Linked DNA regions of Drosophila melanogaster. The protein of the gene in region 3 interacts with the protein of the main gene of each other region in a pairwise test. Each region holds a gene or a part of one and is shown on either strand. Other genes may lie near its edges. The genes, in order: CG4835, Cpr92A, RFeSP and Sirt4.

What was found.
Region 1: the proteins of RFeSP (region 3) and CG4835 interact in a two-hybrid assay, tested with the Drosophila melanogaster proteins (one large-scale study listed by BioGRID).
Region 2: the proteins of RFeSP (region 3) and Cpr92A interact in a two-hybrid assay, tested with the Drosophila melanogaster proteins (one large-scale study listed by BioGRID).
Region 4: the proteins of RFeSP (region 3) and Sirt4 interact in a two-hybrid assay, tested with the Drosophila melanogaster proteins (one large-scale study listed by BioGRID).

Annotation. Positions count from the first base shown.
Region 1 is NT_037436.4:5,477,731-5,484,194, reverse strand, and holds CG4835 (uncharacterized protein), read right to left. Parts: upstream 4,406-6,464; 5' UTR 4,346-4,405; coding exon 4,339-4,345; intron 4,200-4,338; coding exon 532-4,199; downstream 1-531.
Region 2 is NT_033777.3:19,596,818-19,600,805, forward strand, and holds Cpr92A (cuticular protein 92A), read right to left. Parts: upstream 2,139-3,988; 5' UTR 2,018-2,138; coding exon 2,009-2,017; intron 1,675-2,008; coding exon 946-1,674; 3' UTR 685-945; downstream 1-684. Other genes in the region: CG7333 (uncharacterized protein), read left to right, coding at 3,857-3,988.
Region 3 is NT_033779.5:1,611,574-1,616,158, forward strand, and holds RFeSP (rieske iron-sulfur protein), read right to left. Parts: upstream 2,588-4,585; 5' UTR 2,504-2,587; coding exon 2,410-2,503; intron 1,851-2,409; coding exon 1,471-1,850; intron 1,416-1,470; coding exon 1,197-1,415; 3' UTR 856-1,196; downstream 1-855. Other genes in the region: CG14352 (uncharacterized protein), read left to right, coding at 1-295, 433-827.
Region 4 is NC_004354.4:5,664,067-5,668,142, forward strand, and holds Sirt4 (sirtuin 4), read right to left. Parts: upstream 1,875-4,076; 5' UTR 1,803-1,874; coding exon 1,622-1,802; intron 1,562-1,621; exon of another isoform or gene 1,421-1,561; coding exon 663-1,420; 3' UTR 562-662; downstream 1-561. Other genes in the region: CG4119 (uncharacterized protein), read left to right, coding at 2,340-2,402, 2,491-2,732, 3,144-4,076. UniProt on the Drosophila melanogaster protein: NAD-dependent protein deacylase. Catalyzes the NAD-dependent hydrolysis of acyl groups from lysine residues.

The DNA.
Region 1 (6,464 bases), on a different chromosome or scaffold from region 3:
ACGAGCTTCCGAGGGTTTCAGCTTTGGGCCAAGAACGGCAGTATCAGGCTACGATAAATGGCTGAAACTTGTAACTGAGCAGGATATCAGACGTGGCATTGTCAAGGGGAAACTGCTTTTAGCCTGTTGCTAAAAATACTGTCGCGCGTTTGCGTCCCCTTGAGGGTCTTCGTTTGCAATCCTTTCGACAGGAGGTTCTGCAATTCCAATCGGCTTGTTACCTGTCCGGGGAATTGACTGTGTTAAGTGGTAAATTACTTTTTTTTTCTTGGTTCCGTTTTTTTGCGACATATTACGGGAAAAGGGTTTGCATGTAATTGATACTAAAACTGGAGCAAAGTATATGTCTAAAAAGTGAAACACTTAAAAAAGGACTTAGAAAGCCCTAGAAGTGTAATGTGTGAGGAATATGTTAAGCGATTCCCAGCTATTGAGCATTTGTGCATTTACCCAATTGATTTTTTGGGGTAGCAAAAAGAACAGAAATGGAAAAGATTATTGCTGTGATTTATGCTTTATTAATATATTTTTTTAAAATTCAATAAAAAGACACCTTTCATTGGGAACAGAGGTGCATTGAAGAAGATTATCATCGAAAATCGTTCCCTCATCGCAATCCACGGCATATGGAATGGGATAGTCACAGACGACATAGCGACCGCAATCATTGGGATACGGAAGCAGAGTTCCAAGAGCTTGGCCACAGCATATATTGGGGGTGTACGGATCTAGAGTTGTTGGTGTAGAAACTGTGGTTGTCGATTCAGTTGTTGTTGTTACTGTTGTCGATTCGGTGGTTGTTGTCTTTGGAGTTGTTGAAACGGTTGTTGGCTCGGTTGTCGTTGGGGTTGTTGAAATTGTCGTTGACTCGGTTGTCGTTGGGGTTGTTGAAACTGTCGTTGACTCTGTAGTAGTAGTCTTTGGAGTTGTTGAAATTGTCGTTGATTCCGTGGTAGTTGTTTGGGGAGTGGTTGTAGCTGTAGTTGATTCTGTGGTTGTTGTTGGGATTGTGGTTGACTCGGTAGTAGTGGTCTTTGGAGTTGTTGGCTCGGTTGTCGTTGGAGTTGTTGAAATTATCGTTGATTCTGTGGTAGTTGTTTTGGAAGTTGTCGATTCTGTTGTAGTTGTTTGGGGAGTGGTTGAATCTGTGGTTGTTGTTGAGATTGTGGTTGACTCGGTAGTAGTAGTCTTTGGAGTAGTTGACATTTCTGTAGTGGTAGCCTCGGGTGTTGTTGAAACTGTTGTTACCGGTGTAGACGAAGCTTCTGTACTTAAAGTTGTAAGCCCTGGTGTGGTTAACTTAGTGCTACAACCAGCTAGTTCGGGATCCATGCAGGTCAATTCCGTGGGACTAAACTCCAAACCATCCGGACAATCGTAACCAACTGGTATTGGATATTGGCACTTTATATACTTGCTACAGTTTCTCGGGTAGGGTACCAAGGAGTCGTCTGTCTTGCCTTCACAAATTCCATCTGCCGGCTTTTCAGTTGTAGAAGCTTCCGGGTTAGTTGTTCCTGGTTCCATTGTAGTAGATGATGGTGGTGTTGAAATTGTTGAAGGTGATTCAGAAGTATCAGTAGATAATACTGTAGATGATTCTGTAGTTTCTGTTGATTGTCCTGTAGATGATTCTGTTGTTGATTCCGTTGTTGATTCTGTTGTTGATTCTGTTGTTGATTCTGTAGATGGTTCTGTTGTTGATTCTGTAGACGATTCTGTAGAAGATCCCGTTGATGGTTCGGAAGGCGTTGTTGAGCCTTCCCCGTCTCTTGGTGTAGTCGTCGACTCCGATGGCTTAGCAGTGGTTGTAATCGAACAATTGGCGAGTGAAGCATCAACACATTTTCCAAGCTCCACACTAAATTCATCTCCTTTTTCGCATTCAAAGGCAACCGCAATGGGTCTATCGCACTGAATATACTTCGAACAATCGTTGGGATAAGCGACAAGGGCCCCATCCTCGACGTCGTCACAAGGTCCTTTCTGCGGTGGTGGTCTCGTAACCGCTGTGGTCGTTGTCGGCTCACTGGTAGTTGATGTGGTTGAAGTGTAGTCCCATCGACAGGCATCTGAAGGAACATCCGCTCCACACTTTTCAGTAATTGGATCGTAGTACTCCCCACAATTACAGACGTCCATCATGTAAATGTAATCATCCACACAGCGTATGAACCATTGACAATTGTCCGGATATGGGAATGTATCCCGACTGCTATTTGTACACATGGTCGGTTCCGGAGGAGGTCTTGTATAGCCTGGTTCTAGAGTCGTTGTGCTTTGATCACCCTCACAATCACTTTCATCCCAATCATCAATGCACTTCTCTAACTTGGAACTGAAGAATGTACCATCGGGACAGAAGAACGCTATGGGAATTGGTGAAACGCACACAATGTACTTGGTGCAGTTGTTGGGATAAGCAATATTCTCGTTCTCATTTCGACCACCGCAAATACCAGTTTTTGGGGCCACAGTTGTGGTTGTCCTTTCGGTGGTTGTAGCTGTGGACTTGGGTGTGGTATTTCTTTCGGTTGTTGTGGTCTCTGTCGTTGTTGTTGTTGTGGTGGTTGTGACTTGTGATGGTTTGCACGCATCGGGTGCCACATCAGGTCCACACTGACCTGTGCTGGGATCAAAATAACTGCCGTAAATGCAGGGTGCCAGAGTCCATTGTCCGCCGCCCAAGCAAAGATAATACTTGCTGCAATCATCCGGATAAGAAAACGAAGCTCCCAACTCCTGACCATCGCAAAGCTGATCTGGTCCCAAAGTTGTTGCCACTGTGGTGGTAGTCGTGGTAGGAGTGGTTTTTTCAGTAGTAGTAGTTGGTATGGTGGTTGGAATTGGTGTCGTGGTGCGATCTCCAAGGCACACAACATCATCTGGCTCATCGCATACAAGCAAGTCGGGATTGAAGAGCGTATTAGGAGGACAATGACCCATTTGCACTTGATTGTCTTTACATATTAAGTACTCCGAACAATTGCCTATGTAGGCAAAAATAGTGCCGTCCTTTTCATCTTTACAATCATTTGGATCGACATCAGAGGGAAGTCCATCTGTAGTGGTTACAATCTCTTCTGTGGTGCTAGAATGTATTTCCGTTGTAGACCCATCAGAAGGCAGTGTTGTAGGCGTTGAAGGAGTTGTAGTGATTGAAGGCGTCGTCGTGACTGAAGGCGTCGTTGGTTTGTTGGTTGTTCCCGGAGTTGTGGGGAATGGCAGGGGGTCACACCGCACCGAATCGGGTGTATCGCAGATGTGCAGCCAATTATTAAAGAGTTTATCCGGCTGGCAGTAATCCAAATCTGTGCAACCATTTTTGCAGGCCAAGTACCCACTGCAATTGTAAGGATACTCATAGAAACCATTTCCCTTCGGCACACAATAATCCTCTTCAATTCCCTCCGGCGTTGGACCGCAAACCACATCCTCCTCAGTTGTTGAAGTGGGCGGCATTTCTGTTGTGGTTGTAGGAAGGGGCAGCTCCTCGCAATCTGCCATATCGGGAGTATCGCAAATGCCAAGGTACTTATTGAATACCTTGTCTTCAATACAGTAATTTAGCACGGGCCAGCCGTAAGTGCAGTTTATATAGGCCTGGCAGTCATATGGATAATAATGTACCGAGCCATCCTCCTTGTTGCGACAGTAGTCATCTGAAATTCCCGGTGGTGCCGGTGGTGGATCCCAACTGGATGTTGGGAGGTAACTTGAGGGGGTAGAGGACGTTATCTCTGTACTGGTTCCGGTGGTACTTTCTGTCGTTATCTTTGCCGTACTTGATGGTGGTTCTGTGGGTTCTGGCGTTATCTTTTGAGTACTGGATGTTGGTTCTGGCGTAAATCGAGTAGTTCCATCCGTAGGTTCTGGCGTTTCAATCGAGTAGTAGATACATTCTACAGCTTGGGGATAATTACATTGCTGGGTCTTATTATCCCACCAGAGATTTGCGGGACACAACTTCACCGTGGGATAGAGACAGTCGCAAACTAGGAACAAACTACAGTTATCCGGATACGGTACCAAAGCACCAAAGTCCTTGCCCTCGCACATCACCTGGTTTTCGTATCGCTGTTCATTGTTGCAAGTTTCGTGACGAGGTTCGATCTTTGGCAGGGCCAAAACATTTAGCTGCCAGCTCCAGAATACGGCGATAACCACCAGAAGCCATGGCAAAGGCTTGAAAATATTATCTGGAAAAGGAAAGAATACAATAATAATACAAAAAAAAAAACATACAGAGACTATTACTAGTATTTAAGTTTAAATATTTATGTATAATTGACATAATAATTTATTGCATTGTACTTGCATAGAATATCTTAGATTTACCTTGCATAACAACTCCCCTTTCTAAATTGTACTATATATTTTTAATAGGTCTTTTCGCCTGCGAGTTTAACTCCACACTGACTTGTTAACTAGGCCAACTGTCTTGTCTATAGCAAAAGCTATTTCCTGATACAACGTCGGTAGCTTATATTAATGACATTTTGATTAGATTTAATTAGAAATTCTTTGAAATTTATAGAATATCGTTTTCATTCTAGTGATTGTGATTTGTGATTTTATGTTATCGTTAACTTCTGAATTATTTTTCTTAAGTGCCATTTCAACACGAGCAACACAAGATAGTTTCCGTAATATTCTAATCTAGTGATAAGCCAATTACGTATTGAAGTCTTATCGTGGCGTCATAGATTGTTTTGTTTATAAAGGTTAATTTTAAGCAAAATATAAGGCAGGAAGCTTCTCTGGGGTTTTCTTTAAGTATTTCCCCTACTGGTGTTTTTTTACACACGTATTGCTTGTGAAATGAGTGTCATTTTATATTCTTTCATTTCGAAGGTAAATCATTTTATCCTGTTCGCATGTGTTTTGTGTGCGCCTTTTGTGACTCTTATTGCTGCTGTTATTACACTTATTGTTCTTGTTCCAGTTCACGGTGTTGTTGGGTCTTTAATGAGCCCACGTGACCTTTCCGACAGCGAAGTTCGAGTCACAATTTATGATCAGCACTCGACGCGTAAATTACACGAATAAAAATGCGAACATAAACATAAATGAAGCTAGAAGTTTAATGCCCGGCAAGCCATTAAAATTAAGCGACAAAACATGAGTGGCACACAAAATACGGCATTAAGTAGAATTAGTTGAAAATGTATAAACAGATTGAAGAAATTTGTATCTCTAGTTTAAAGTGGATTTGCAAGCTGCAGTTGCATAGAAAGCTAGCCATGGTATTTCAATTTGTGCTGCAAATTACTTAAAAGCATACAAATCTATTTGTCTGAAGGATGTTTTTATGCTGTCTGGCTGACCTTTTTTCCATCCCTTCTTCAGTCGCCTTTGGGTTGACAAACAGTCACGAAGTTGGAAAATATAAAGTGCAGCCTGAAAGGACAAATCCATTAATATAAAAATAAAGTTGCATAAAAGAAAGTGCGGATTATTTAAGTACAGATTTTTTGAGATTAAAATAATAAATGGTTTTGGGTAAATTAAAGTCAGGAGTATGAATGAAACAATACTTATAGGTACTCATGATTACTCTTTTATAAAAAGATATATGAAATTTATTCTATACTTAGCATATTTTTCTTTGGAATTAGCTCAACAAATCAAATATAATCAAATGTTCCCACCTCTTTGGCCAAACTTGCTGCTGGACAATTTTTCAGCTTGATCTGTTGGCTGCTGTCAAGCGTTTGATCTGCAACAGATTGAACTATCAATTATGCCCCTGCATGCGACGTGACCAGCAACTGACATGTGCCACATGCCACACCCCATCCAAAATCTGGGAAACAAGAAGCAGGACCATCAGATGGCAATGTTAAAACGGACGTTTAGTTACAGCTGAGCACCTGCTCGCCTTTCTGTCCGCCTGGCTGCTCCTCAAAGGAATGGCGGCGGAGAAGCGGGTGAAAGCGAGGGAAAACGTGTCCTCCACGCAGCAAAGCTGCTCCTTGCCCCGTTCCACAACTCCTCCCCTTGTTTGTGTTGCATGAAATTGACCCGGTGCGTGTGTCGCCAGCGACTGGAAAGGATTCTCGGCGATCTGATGGGGGGTTTGTATATGGCGCAATGCATCCTGGGGCCTAGATTCATCACCGAGTCTGGCGGCATTCGTGTGTTTTTCCAGCTTCCAGAGATTTCACGTAAGCCCCTGTGAAACTCCTAAAAAACGTCCAAAACGTTTTTTAAGCCATATAAAAAATGTTTAATTACTAGAGAAAAAGAAACCATTATAAATTTGTTAAATATGCCCTTTGTAAGTCAGAAATAGTTGTCTGTAACCAATTTATTTTTGTAGCATTCAAAGCTTCGCAAAGTTTAAGTGATTGTTTCAAAATATCTGAAAATCCATTGGCTAAAATACCCAAGAAATTGGTACAAATGAACTGTTTGATTACCACAACCGAGTAAAAATCGAGTAAATGAAATACCGCAAAAGT
Region 2 (3,988 bases), on a different chromosome or scaffold from region 3:
CCTAAAGACCCTTAGTTTAAATAATCGTACACATCAAATCAATCAGACGGATAATGATAGACACAAAGCCCCGAGCTTGGCAACTAATCGTTTTTGTTGGAATAGAAGCTTCGAAATTAATTTAGTGGTAGCAGGCATGACTCAATTGTACCTATCTTTTGATACCGTTTATTACAAAACTAAGGACTATAATCGTATTTAAATTGTATACCTAATCGAGTGCAGCGAGACCAAAACGCACTCTGCACACTGATGAACTTTTGAAGTCGGCTGAGGAGTACATAAATTTATATCGATATCGAAAACATTTCAGTATGTTCTACGAATGGTAGCTCATAGAACCTATTAAACATAAAACATAATACATAAATAATAACACATTATGCATTGTAATAAACTTATTTATAACATACGGTGACATACTCGAAACGTTTATATACAACACACATATACATATTTATACATAATCAGAAATTATACATATGAGATATGCCACATACGATATCATATAACATATACATATATGAACCATTGCGAAAAGTTGATACAATAAATAAAACACTCATCAATTGCGTTAAAACGTTGTTTTTTAAATTATTTAAAAACTTTTTGTGGGACTATTTTCTTCTTGGCTTCGGAACTTCAATCTAATAGTTTCTAGGGAAGACCGCAAACAAATTTGTTAGGTTTTTCAATTCTCGTTTTATTTCCTAGACTAACCATTCAACAACATTTTCTTAAAGACGTGTACATAGGCTAGGGGTAACTTAGAATCAATCTACATGTTGGATCGGTATCAAATCCCTCGAAGAACACAGAGTAAGAGATTGAGAGTACAGCGTTTGGCACAGATATAGCCGGAGTTTCAGTTTTGGGTCAGTGTAAGCTGCGTGCGATAGATGAAGTCGAATCAAATCAGATCAGATAGTTGAGAACCTTGGTCCCTCAGTGATGGTAGTAGGCATGGGGTTCCACTGGAGCGGGGGCCGGACCTGGAGCCGGATAGTGGGCATAGGGGCTGTGCGCCAGGGCGGGATAGGCGGCATGGAAGTGGGCGGAGGGCAGGACTGGAGTAGCCACTGGCACAGACACCGGAGCTGGAGCAGGAGCGGGAGCGGGACCTGGTGCAGGAGCGGGAGCACCACGGTGGTAAGGTCCTAAGGCAAGAGGATACGAAAGCAGAGGAGCCTTGGGCACCGGCGGAAGTGGAGGCGCCGGAGCTGGGCCGTAATGAGCTGGTACTGGAGCGGGTGCAGGTGCGACGACGGGTGCCAGGTGGGCTGGTGCCTTGTAGGCCAGCGGCTCCTTGCGGACCACCGCATTGAATCCGTGATGGGGATCCGCTGTGTAGTCAACGGTGCGTTTGGTTCCATCCGGATCCACAACCGAGTAGCTGCCCTTCACCACATCTCCGTGGCGCGTCTCGTGCTGTGACTTCAGGTCACCAGTATAACCATCCTGGATGTCGTAGCCAAAGGAGTACTTCGGGTCGGGATCGTAGGGTTCGGGAGCAGCCGGCTTGGGCGCCACATAGGGACCTGGCAGGGGCCCATGCTGCGGTGCATATCCTCCATAGTGGTGCAGAGGTCCGGGACCAGCTGGACCGCCATAGTATGGTCCGGGTCCAATCACGCCCGCATAGGCGATGCCGAGCATGGCGCTCAGCAGGGAAATCTGAAAAAAAAATTAAAAGAAAATGTTGAAAGCGATTAAATTGAAATAAGCTTTAAGTAATATGAGGACAGGGAAGAATTGTTTAGAATAATTCTTGGCAATTAAATTTAATTTAAATCAAATCACATATTAACTCGGATCATTCGACGGGTTTCATTAGGACTTAAACTATCTTCTTTATGCACTAATTTTCTTTGTATGAATAAAATATAAGCTTTTAGTAATAGGAACACTTGGTTAATTCATCTTGGCATTCCCCTTGAGAATATGTTAAATCGGCTTAAACTTGATTGTCCAGACTATAAGAGCACTTTGGTATCCTTTGTTTTCACACCTTCAGCATAACGATGTCCTTGCAGGGGTATCCTTTCCACTCGCTCACAGTTGTCACAGACTCAGCAGACACCACACGTAGAGAGTGGCCGGAGTATTGTTGGTTTCGACGACGATCGCGCTAGAAGAAGTAACCAAAACTGCAAGCGTTCGCTGGAAGTTCTGGCCATTTATACTGGCAAACGGCGGCAAATGTCGCCTGCTTCACATGGCGCAGTCGAGGCAATAAACTAATTTCAGATCAAGAGAGACCCGGCCAGACGGAGTCTTCGGTGTCTTGGGCCAGCGATCAAGCACATGGCGCGGACCAGTACTGCGGAGCCACGGGGGCGGGGATTGACTCTTGCCCACCTGGCGGCAAATCGTGTGCCTGGCTTCAACTTTGGCGCAGTTATCGTGTCGACTTAGAAAGGTTATTCTTCCGCTAAACCATTTAAAGGGTCCCCAGACCCCGGAGCCAATCCAACCCGAGCTTTGCCCTTTCACTTTTGCGACGTTTACGATTCGTTTTCGATTCGCTTTTCAATACCCGCTTGGACACCGACTTTTGGCAATTATGTGAAAATTTATTTTGCCGCACACAATTGAAATGTTACATTAACATTGGCTGGATGTTAGGATATGCTGCATTTGGCTGCCGCGTAATTAGCTAAGAAGAACAAGCTGCACCGGGCGATGTTGAGGTTCCATATGAAATGGCAGTTGCAGCGCATGCGCAAAAGGTCAGGTGGTCCACAATTGAATTAAGAGTGCCTGGAGTGGGCCCAAAAGCCAGAGGCTCACCGAAGAAGGGGGGCGGAAACAGGGGCGACTGGCTCGCCACAACAGCCTAATAAAGCAAAAGGTCAACGCGCTGCTGTCGGCACATTAGTCTGGCCCACAGACCAGGCCAAACAACCACTTGCAGTCTAGGCAAATAATGTCATTAATAATACCCTTCAAAAAGTGGCATGACGACTATATAAGGTTACTCATGACTGATCCTTCAGCTGAAGACTGGTTTTCTGTTTGATCTTCCCCTTAAATGGTTGCTACGTAGCGGAGATGCTAAAAGCTGACTATGATAGGACACATTGTAATAGGAATACTGATCAGTTACATAGTTTATAATCAATGATAAACTTGAGATAATTTCTGGAAGGACCAAAAAAGTTTGCAGCTAGTTCCTAAGAGTGCCTGATTAGCCAAAAATACCCTTTCCAGCCTCTAACGACCAAGTGTCTGCGACAATTCTCATGTTTACCGTTTTGTGAGCTTAATTTATGGCTGCAAATTTGTATCTGGCATCTGGAAAACTATTGACATCTGCATGCATTGTCTTACCCTTGCTGTTACCATCGGGCCTGTTTATGCGACAACTAACTATAACAAAGAATCAAAGTCGTGCCAACCGCCGGGCCAGTCGATGTCAGCTGTTTTAACTATTTTTAGCCAGAAGATCAAAGCAATTGATCAACAAGAATGGCAGGCTAATGCTACAAAGTTGCCAATATGGCTGAATGGAAAATCTAGTCAATAATGGATTAGTTAAGCACAATATTGGTATGTATGTAGGTATTTTAATTGCAAAAATTTTGTTTCGACAAAAACTTACGCGATAGATGTGACATCTCCTGTAGATATTTTCCCAATTACAGGGCTCACAGCTGGCAAAACATTTGACGGTATATCTGTAATTTTAAAACCCATCCAGCTGTTTTAGCTTTATGAAACATATTGCCTAAAGCCGCTAAAGATAAATTTATGGCTATTCCCAGCGCAGTTTAATTTAGCTTCTGGTCAGTTCTCAAAGGGAGTTGGAAGTAGTCAGTCGCTTTGGAAATTTTTTATGTCATCGAAGCAACGTCTGATGGATTTCAGTCAGGTTCTGGATAAGTGTGGAAACTATGGCAGGTTCCAGGTGATGATCCTTTTGCTGTACGGCTACACAAATATTCTTGGATCACTGCACTACTTTTCGCAGACCCTTATCACCTTCACA
Region 3 (4,585 bases):
GAGAACCTGATCCTGGCGCATCGCGACGTGATCCGCAACAAGCAGAAGGATCCGGCCATTTGGAGGAAGAAATCGGAGGCGTGGAAGCAAATTGAGGCGGACTTCGCCATTCAGACCGGAATAGAGCGTTCTTGGCAGGCTCTGCGAGAGAAGTACACCAACAACCTGCGGATGATGCGAAAGAACGGAACACTGAGTGACGAGGAGGCAAAGACTGACAATGCATCAGATTCGGTGCAGAATTTGTCCATTTCGGGAGTTTCTTCGCTGGCTGCAGCTGCTGATAATGAAGAAAGTGAGTAAAGGATGGCAGGATCAAAAGCATGAACGTGGTAGTTGACAAGATGTACCTTAATAGTCTTACCATGATAGGTTCTTCTACAGCAATATTTCAGTGCTTTATCTCTAATAAACTCTAAAAACATCTTGCAGGTAGTACCTATTTCGAATCGGAATTGAACCGAAAAAGCCTCAGAAGCGCCTCTACCGAAGTCAAGCTCGTGCCGAATAACTCAAGCTACTCAGTTGACAGACCAAACTACTCAGCTCTGAATGTAAATGAAGAGTCAGTCGATGTGAGCTCAGAAGAGGATGCCACGAATACCCTGAAGGATGAAAAAGTCGTTCTGATCAGGCTGCAACAGGAGTACTATCGATGCGAAAACGCCCGGGCAGCCGAGAAGCACAAGCTTGAGATGGAGAAGCAGAAATACGAGCTGGAGCAGCGAAAGGTGGAGCTGCGCAATATGCGCCTGAAAAACGAACTTCTCGAAGCGGAAATACTCGAAAAACGACGCAAAGTCGCGCAAAGCAAGGCTTCATCCTAAGGAATTGCTAGCTAGGATAAGTTAATTTATTCTTGTCTTCATAATGTCAGTGCTCTTCAGTAATTACTATAGTCCTAGTTAAACAAAAGATTATCGAAAGAAACTCATGTACACTCCTTGATTTTTGAAACCAGAAGCAAACAATTACATCTTCAAAAGATTTAATAATGTCTGTCAAACTTCTAAAGATTCGTCTACATTTTAACAAGTAAGCTGGATTTAGGCTGCTGGATTTAAGCCCTTCACATTTATTCCTCCTCAGTTCGAATGAATTGCTCGTTTATGCTCGGTCGTTCTGTTTGGTTGTATTTATTAATTTACATCGATCCATTCACTATGCAGTTGGGGGCTTAAACGATAACAGCTCCTCTAGCCGACCACGAGAAGACCCTCGTTGGGGAACTCGTGGGTGGGCACCTCCAAGTTGAGGGGCGCGGGTCCCTTGCGGATCCTTCCGGAGGCGTCGTAGTGGGAGCCGTGGCAGGGGCAGTAGTAGCCACCCCAGTCGCCGGCGTTCGCGATGGGCACACAGCCCAGATGCGTGCACACTCCGATGACCACCAGCCACTCGGGCTTGATCACACGTTGCTAAAGAGGAAATGGGTAACAGCATTAGCGAATCGACCCACTCCACGGTACCTACATCATCAGCCTCCGGATCGCGCAGCGTGGATGTGGGCACATTTCGCTCGGTCTCGATTTCCGCGGCCGTGCGGTGGCGGATGAACAGGGGCTTTCCGCGCCACTTGAAAGTAACCGACTTGCCCTCCGGGATGTCGGACAGCTTGATCTCGATCTTGGCCATGGCCAGCACTTCGGCGGAGGCGCTCATCGATCCGATGAAGGTGTTAACCAGGCCCTTGGCCGCATAGGCACCGCCCACGGCTCCGGCGCCGACCATCAAGTAGGAGAAGGCCTTGCGCTCCTCGGCGGTGTCGTTGCGACGACGACTGTCCTTCACGGACTCCCGGCGGTATGCCGAGAAGTCTGGCACCTGCAGGTCGGTGTGTGCCTGGCGATTGGCTGAAAGGAAGGAGGGAATCATTAATTATCCATTGATCGAAGTGCAGAGGTTCTATAGATCCTTGTGCTTGTTTGCAGAGCAGTGTTGCTGATATAATCATAAATTTTTTGTGTGGTGGGCAGTGAAGAGTGTAAACAACATTGTTTTGGGGTTGTCAAGGCTGAAGGTATATTTCTTATAGCCGACACAGGGCATCTTGGGCCAACTTGGCATAACTTGGCGTCCCTTGCAGACAGAGGTGCCAAACTTCGCATGATGATATTCCTGGTCCCAGAGGTAGTAAATCCCACGTTTGGCAGAAATCGATTGAGTATATCCCACAGATCCGATGTAAATTGCAGGTGTGCTTGTGAGCCAGTGATTGTTGTTATTGTACGAGGTTATGTTGAAATTACGTAAGGAAATTTGACAAATCGCCTTAAAGCCGAGTGCAAATCACGTCCTGGTGGCATTTCCAAGCTTTTATTCAACTTTTTCCGCCTATTTCCCGATCCATTCATTATGTAATGGCTGTGTTTTCAGCTGGCAGCTCGATGAATTCGCCTCGCAGAGCCTTACCCATCGAGTTGACGGCCACGCCGCTCGCCTTCAATCCCGTGGAGAGGACCTGGGCTCCGCCTCTGACGTAAGCACGCGACACGGCGTTCATCATTTTGTATGTTTCCCTATCAAATTAAATGATCACGAAAATTTCGACGTTTGTCGTTTTCGTCTGAGAACCAGTGTGACCGCACTCAAGTGGGTGAGAAATACCAGGTAACCTGCAAAAAATACCACAATATACTAGTATATATTAGTGTATAGTGCTGCCAGCTATTTGCATTCTCAGAGTTGCCACTACGATTGCTCACTGTCAGGAGCTGGCCGCTATTACAGCCCAGTAACGGTTTTTTAAATAGGTGAATAGAATTTCAAATAATTTTTGGAACAAATGATATTGTAGCTCGTTAAACCACCCCGCAGTGCATAAAAGCTTTTACTTTAATTTAAATTGATATGCATTTCATGTTGAAATGATAATCCTGCGTCGAATTAAATTGCATTTGTTTCACCTTGCCGTTCAATCCTTCATCCCCTTTCGTTTTCCTTCGAAAGGTGAAAAGGAGGCTCAGTTTCCACCCTTCGACCTTTTCATTCAAGTGAAAACTACCTTTCTTTTCAATTGGAAACTGCAGTGGCATAGATTTAGCCCGGATGAAAAGGGGTTTCCATGGCAAACCGGTTGGTCAACGCACCACCGAGTGGAGAACAAAAGACGAGGTCCAACCACCGGACTTTCACTATCCAGTTTTTCCACTGCACTTTTCCATTTTCCCCCGGGCAGCATCATTATGATGTCATTGATTGGACTTTGCTGGATGTTGCCTATTTTCTTCGGGGTAGTTTCTCTCAGCTTAATTAATAAGCGTAGCTCCTGAATTGGAGATATGCCTCGGCTGATCTCATCCAACGCATAAAATGGCAATAAAAACTGCATAAAAAACAGCCGATGTAGGGGAATTTGTTATGCGCATAAAAGTTTGCCGCCCGAAATTTGGCCAAACTTTAAAACCAAAAAAGCGGCCGTGGCAGCGGGGAAAACTCTCCCGCAGCCGGCTGAAATGTAATTCCTCTGGCGCCAGTCCTGTGATTATCGAAAGTAGTTCTTTTTGATGTCGAAACTTTGCTGCCACCCACTCCCCTCCTCCTTTCACTGGCTAGGTGGCAAGTGAAAGTGGGCCCGAAAGTGCTCCACTCCTCGCTCCGCTGCGATGTGTTCATCTATTTCCCAGCCGGAGGAGGAAAATCTGCGCACATAACGGCGCCTCTATGTACTTGGCCCAAAACACGCACACATACAAAATGGGTTCCTACGGAAAAGTGCGTAAAATTTGGCCAAAAACAAACTTCATAATGTAGTTGGGATATGAACAAGGGGATACTCTACATTTACACAAAATAACAGACGTTTTTTTGTGCGGAAATGAGATTTATTTATTTATTATGCATTTTAATATCTAGGACACAAACAGTAACCACTTGTTATGTTCCAATATTTGACATATCAATTTCTGACAGTGTAGAGGCCTGAAAAGTTGAAACTATGCCGCGTAGGCGACGTGGCAATGGCATCTGCCCTTTCCCTGGATTTTGCGCATCCACCCACCGAATTTTCCAGCCACCACAACGCCTCCAACTTCAAAACTCGACCGCATCCCCACTCAGACTTAACTCTTGTCAAGCTTCGACTGCGTTACACTTTTCAGCAACTTTTACATGGGAAACTGGCGCCAACTACAACAGCAGCAGTAGCAACAACAAAGTTTCAACCCTGCCCCAGGGCAGCCCCCCCTTACCCCCCTTACCACTCCCTGCCACGCTTCTTGCCGCACACTCCACCCCCTTTTCAACCATTTCTGTGCGGCGTGTGCAGCGTTGCGGCTGCGGCAGCAACAACATCAGCACAGCAGTAGCAAGAGCCGAAATACACTCGAAAAAGTATTGTTTAGCTTTATAATTGAGATATTTACATTTCCTAAAGTTTAGCTTAGTTATTATTAACTTTTAAGCTATACCCTATTTGGGAATTATGAATGGTGTGTGTCATATATTGTTTATTTTCAAATACTTTTAGCCGTGTAGGCGACGACATGGCCTGCTTATCGCAACATCAGCCAAGCATAAAGCTGAGCCCACCCAGAGTGGGTCGCCACCCCTTGGAAAAGTTGAAAGTGGAAAATTGTGCGTGGCAGGC
Region 4 (4,076 bases), on a different chromosome or scaffold from region 3:
TAATGCTGCTTAAATATGCTAACCATGACCACTACTTAATATAATTATATTATTATTATTATTATTCTTAGCAGTCCTTCGATTTTGCCCATTGTGCGAGGTCTACGCATTGTTTTTCTAGCAGGAATGGACGATTGTCGTAGGAGGGGGGGTAATGAACCGCGTGTGAAAAGTGTCACTGGCCGTGTATGTGTGTGTGCGATGTGTGTTTGTGTGTGCGAGCGGGAGATGCCGATGCCTCAATTGCGGTTCATTTATATGGAGCACTGAGAGCAGCGGCCTGGAGCAAAAACAAAAACATTCAACGGGAGCGAGCGGAAGTGCGCAGCTCTCCCCGGCGCTCCTGCTTCCGCTTCCTGTTGGGATGTGCTGGAATTTCAGAGCACAGGACACTGAGAGAGACAGAGAGGACATGGACTCGGAACCCATGTGCTTGGGGGATGAGCGAATCCTTTTCCCGGAAAGCGTGTCATTGTGTTTCGCTCCAGAGGAGCCTGCGCGAAAATGATCCAAAGGCACAGCCATAAATCAGGAGCTCCGTTGCAACGCTACATTCCATTTGCAAATAGTAATCATTAACATTTATTTTTTAGCTAAAATAGAAAGCCTGGCTTTCCATAACTACAAATTTAGTGGGGGTCAACATATAACAACTGTGAGTATTAACTGACGCTTTTCGAATTGCGAAAGTCGAACAGTTTGGGTATGACATCGCCGCACTTGGCGGATATCTTGATATCCGCCAGGTGATCGGCGCGCGTTTCGCCAATATTAACAATGCCCACCGGTAGCTTGAGGTCCTTGGTCTGCAGGACAACGCGGTAGCCGGAGAAGACCAGGAGACTGGACCCGAGGACAAGCAGGCCATCGCTATTGTACACCATGCCGGCAATCTGATCCACTCGTGGCCGAGGCACAGAATCTCCGAAGAAGACAATTTCCGGCTTCAAGTCGCCGCCGCACTGCGTACACTCGGGTATCCGGAAGTTCTCGATGTACTCCAGCGGTATCTCTACATCGCCATCGGGCCGGATCATGTCGGGGGCATCTTTGAAGGCCGGATTTAGCGACGCCAGTATGCTCTGGAACTCGTGACGATCGATCCGGTACTCGCATGACAGGCACTTGACCACATAGCCACTGCCATGAACCTCCACAACATTTCGGCTGCCCGCCTTCGTGTGCAGCCGGTCCACGTTCTGGGTGACCACCGCCTGGACCCGCTCCTCCCGCTCGAATCTGGCCAGCGCGTGATGCGTGGCATTGGGCTGTGTGGCAGAAAACTTGGGCCAGCCCACAAAGTTCCTGGCCCAGTACCGCTTGCGCACCGCCGACGACTTGACGAACTCCATGTGCTGGACGGGCTTGTGGTTGGAGCGGGCGTAGAGGCCCACGCCTTCGGAACGGTAATCGGGAATCCCTGGAATTTATTTCAAGTTTTTAGACAGCCAGAAATGTTGATTTAAATAAAATACTAATGCGAATCCAAGTATAAGCTAGAAGTCACTTGCATTAGCATTATATAAATAAATGAATAATGTACAAGCTTTTGGAAGTCAATCTGAAATATTTGTGTTAATGGCTTCTGAACATAGAAAAGTCGGAAAATCATGAAACTCACCCGATTCCGTCGAGATGCCAGCGCCCGTGAGAACCAAAACATTCGGTTTGGACAGGAGAAAGTCCTCCAGCCGTTTGATGTCGTCCTCCACGACGGGCTTGTGATGCGGCACGTACTCCTGCCTGGCGGTGGAGCTGCGCAAGCTGGTGCTCCGGAAGCGGAGCAGCTGGCCCACACGCATTGTTTTGTTATGTATTATTGCAAGTAATATTTGGTTCTTTTTCGGTTACGTTACTAGAGGTGAGCGCACGCACATCGATGGCAACTCCTTCAGTCGCTTACCGCTGTAAATCGATTGTATGCCCCGCAATGGCAATCGATAACTGTACGACCCCCATCGATTTTTACACGCCATCAGCCGATAGCAGCTTGCCAGCAGCTACCATCTCTAGAGCAACGGCTGCAGAAAAAAGATATTCTATTCGGTAATTTACGCGTGGATTTATCACGCGCCGTGAACCCAGAAGTTACAGGCCAACCTTTCCGAGATTCGATCAGTGAACCTTGCGGGCGTCCAGCTTCGTAAGCACGAAACAGGACATTCACACACATATTTATCACTCCGTGTGGCGTTTGCGCCCATCCGTGCGTGCCTGTGTGTGTGTGTGTCGCTCGTCTGTGCGTGCGTGAGTGTGTTTGTGAATTGTCGGCTTTAATTTTGCAAGCTCGCTAAAGTTGTGTTTTCAAAGGACATCGCAAAGGAGTCGCAGCGCACAAGATGTCGTACCCGCCGCGGGCGCCCATGCCGCCCTTCATGAATACAGCCATACCGCCGCCGCACGTAAGTCCACCTTTTCTGGGTCACAATCACCATGAAGCTGTCAGAATCTGACGCCAAATCCTTTTCCACCTACTCCATCCGCTTTCAGATAATGCAGAACATGGCCAAGCCGCCGAGGAGCTTCCGTAACTCGGCCACCATTAGTTCACAGCCGACAGTATACCAACGTCCGCCGGAGCCGCAACCACAGTTCCGCGGACCCATCATTACCGTCTTCGTGGGCAACATCAGCGAACGCGTCCCGGAGGCACTGCTCAAACGCATCCTGAACGCTTGCGGCGTGGTAATCAATTGGAAACGGGTGTCCACATTCGGCTTCTGCGAATTTGAGTACGTTCAACCATAAATCGGTCATCCCAAAATCACTTTAGAAGGCTTAGGGCAGCACAAGAAGGTTTCGTTAGTTAAATAACGCTAGAAAAGTAATTGAAGAGCCATTGCATAAACAGCAGCATAACGCATCTCACTCGTTGTTTGATGCGTTTCCTAGAATAGCTTAGCTTATTTATAAAAAGATTGAAATACTTCTAGGAATGCTCCCTACTGCGACAGCTCTTCAAATTCTATATGCGCGATCGAATAACTACTCGAGCACTTTTAAGTAACCTAACTTTAAGCAATACAACACAGGGTTGAGCTTGCATACATTTATGTTTAGAGCCAACGGGCAGTCCACCCATTTGGCTCTCCAATTGTTCCTATAAATACTCTGCCTAACCGCTTTCCTTGGCATTCTTTCAGCGGACCTATTGCGGCAATGCGAGCCGTTCGCCTGCTCAGCGAGATGGAAATCGATGGCAAGAAGCTGGTAGCCAAGGTAGATGCCAAGAACAAGGTTCTCATCGAGGATTACAAGGAGCAGGAGTGCAAGAACGGCGATCGTTCCAACCCAGTGGACGAAAAGACCGAGGACGAGTTCGCCATTGCCCAGATGCACGAATTCCTGGAAGAGCACAAGCACGAGTTCGAAGGATTCGATAGCAGCAGTCGCGCCGATTTGTACGGCAGCGCCAATCGCAATAAGAAGACACGCCGCGAGGAAGACATAAAGATGAAGGTGCTAAGCGAAAATACCCTGGAGGAAGAAAAGCGCAACTTGATTAGCAGCGAGATAGGCAAATTCCGTATGCGTGCGGAGGAAGACGAGCACCGCAAAGAGCTGGAGAAGGAGAAGGAAAAGGAGAAGCTTGCGGCCAGCAAGGAGAAGGAGCGCAAAAAGCAGCGCGAAATGGAGCGAATGTCGTCGACCAGCAAGTCTGGCAGCTCATCGACAGCGGCCGCCAGTTCCTCCAGCGCTACAGCCACCTCTTCGACACCCGCCGCCGATGGGGCTGACATGTCGGATAAGACAGACAAGGAATCAGTCGCTGTTGTGATCAAGGAAACAGTTAAGGAGTCAAAGGAATCTGCCTCCTCCACCGGACGCAAGGAGTCGTCGTCGGCTGCCATCGAGATAACACAGAAGGAGCGCCGCTCTGACTCAAAGGAGACACGTCGCCGCCGCTCCAAATCCCGCTCCAAGGATCGCGAACGGGAACGTGAGCGTGAGCTGCGCGAGCTTCGCGACAAGGAGCGCGAACGTGAAAGGGATCGGGAGCGTGAGCGCGAGCGGGAACGCAACGAAATGCGCGAACGGGAGCGCAACGAGATGCGCGAACGGGAACGCGAAAGGGA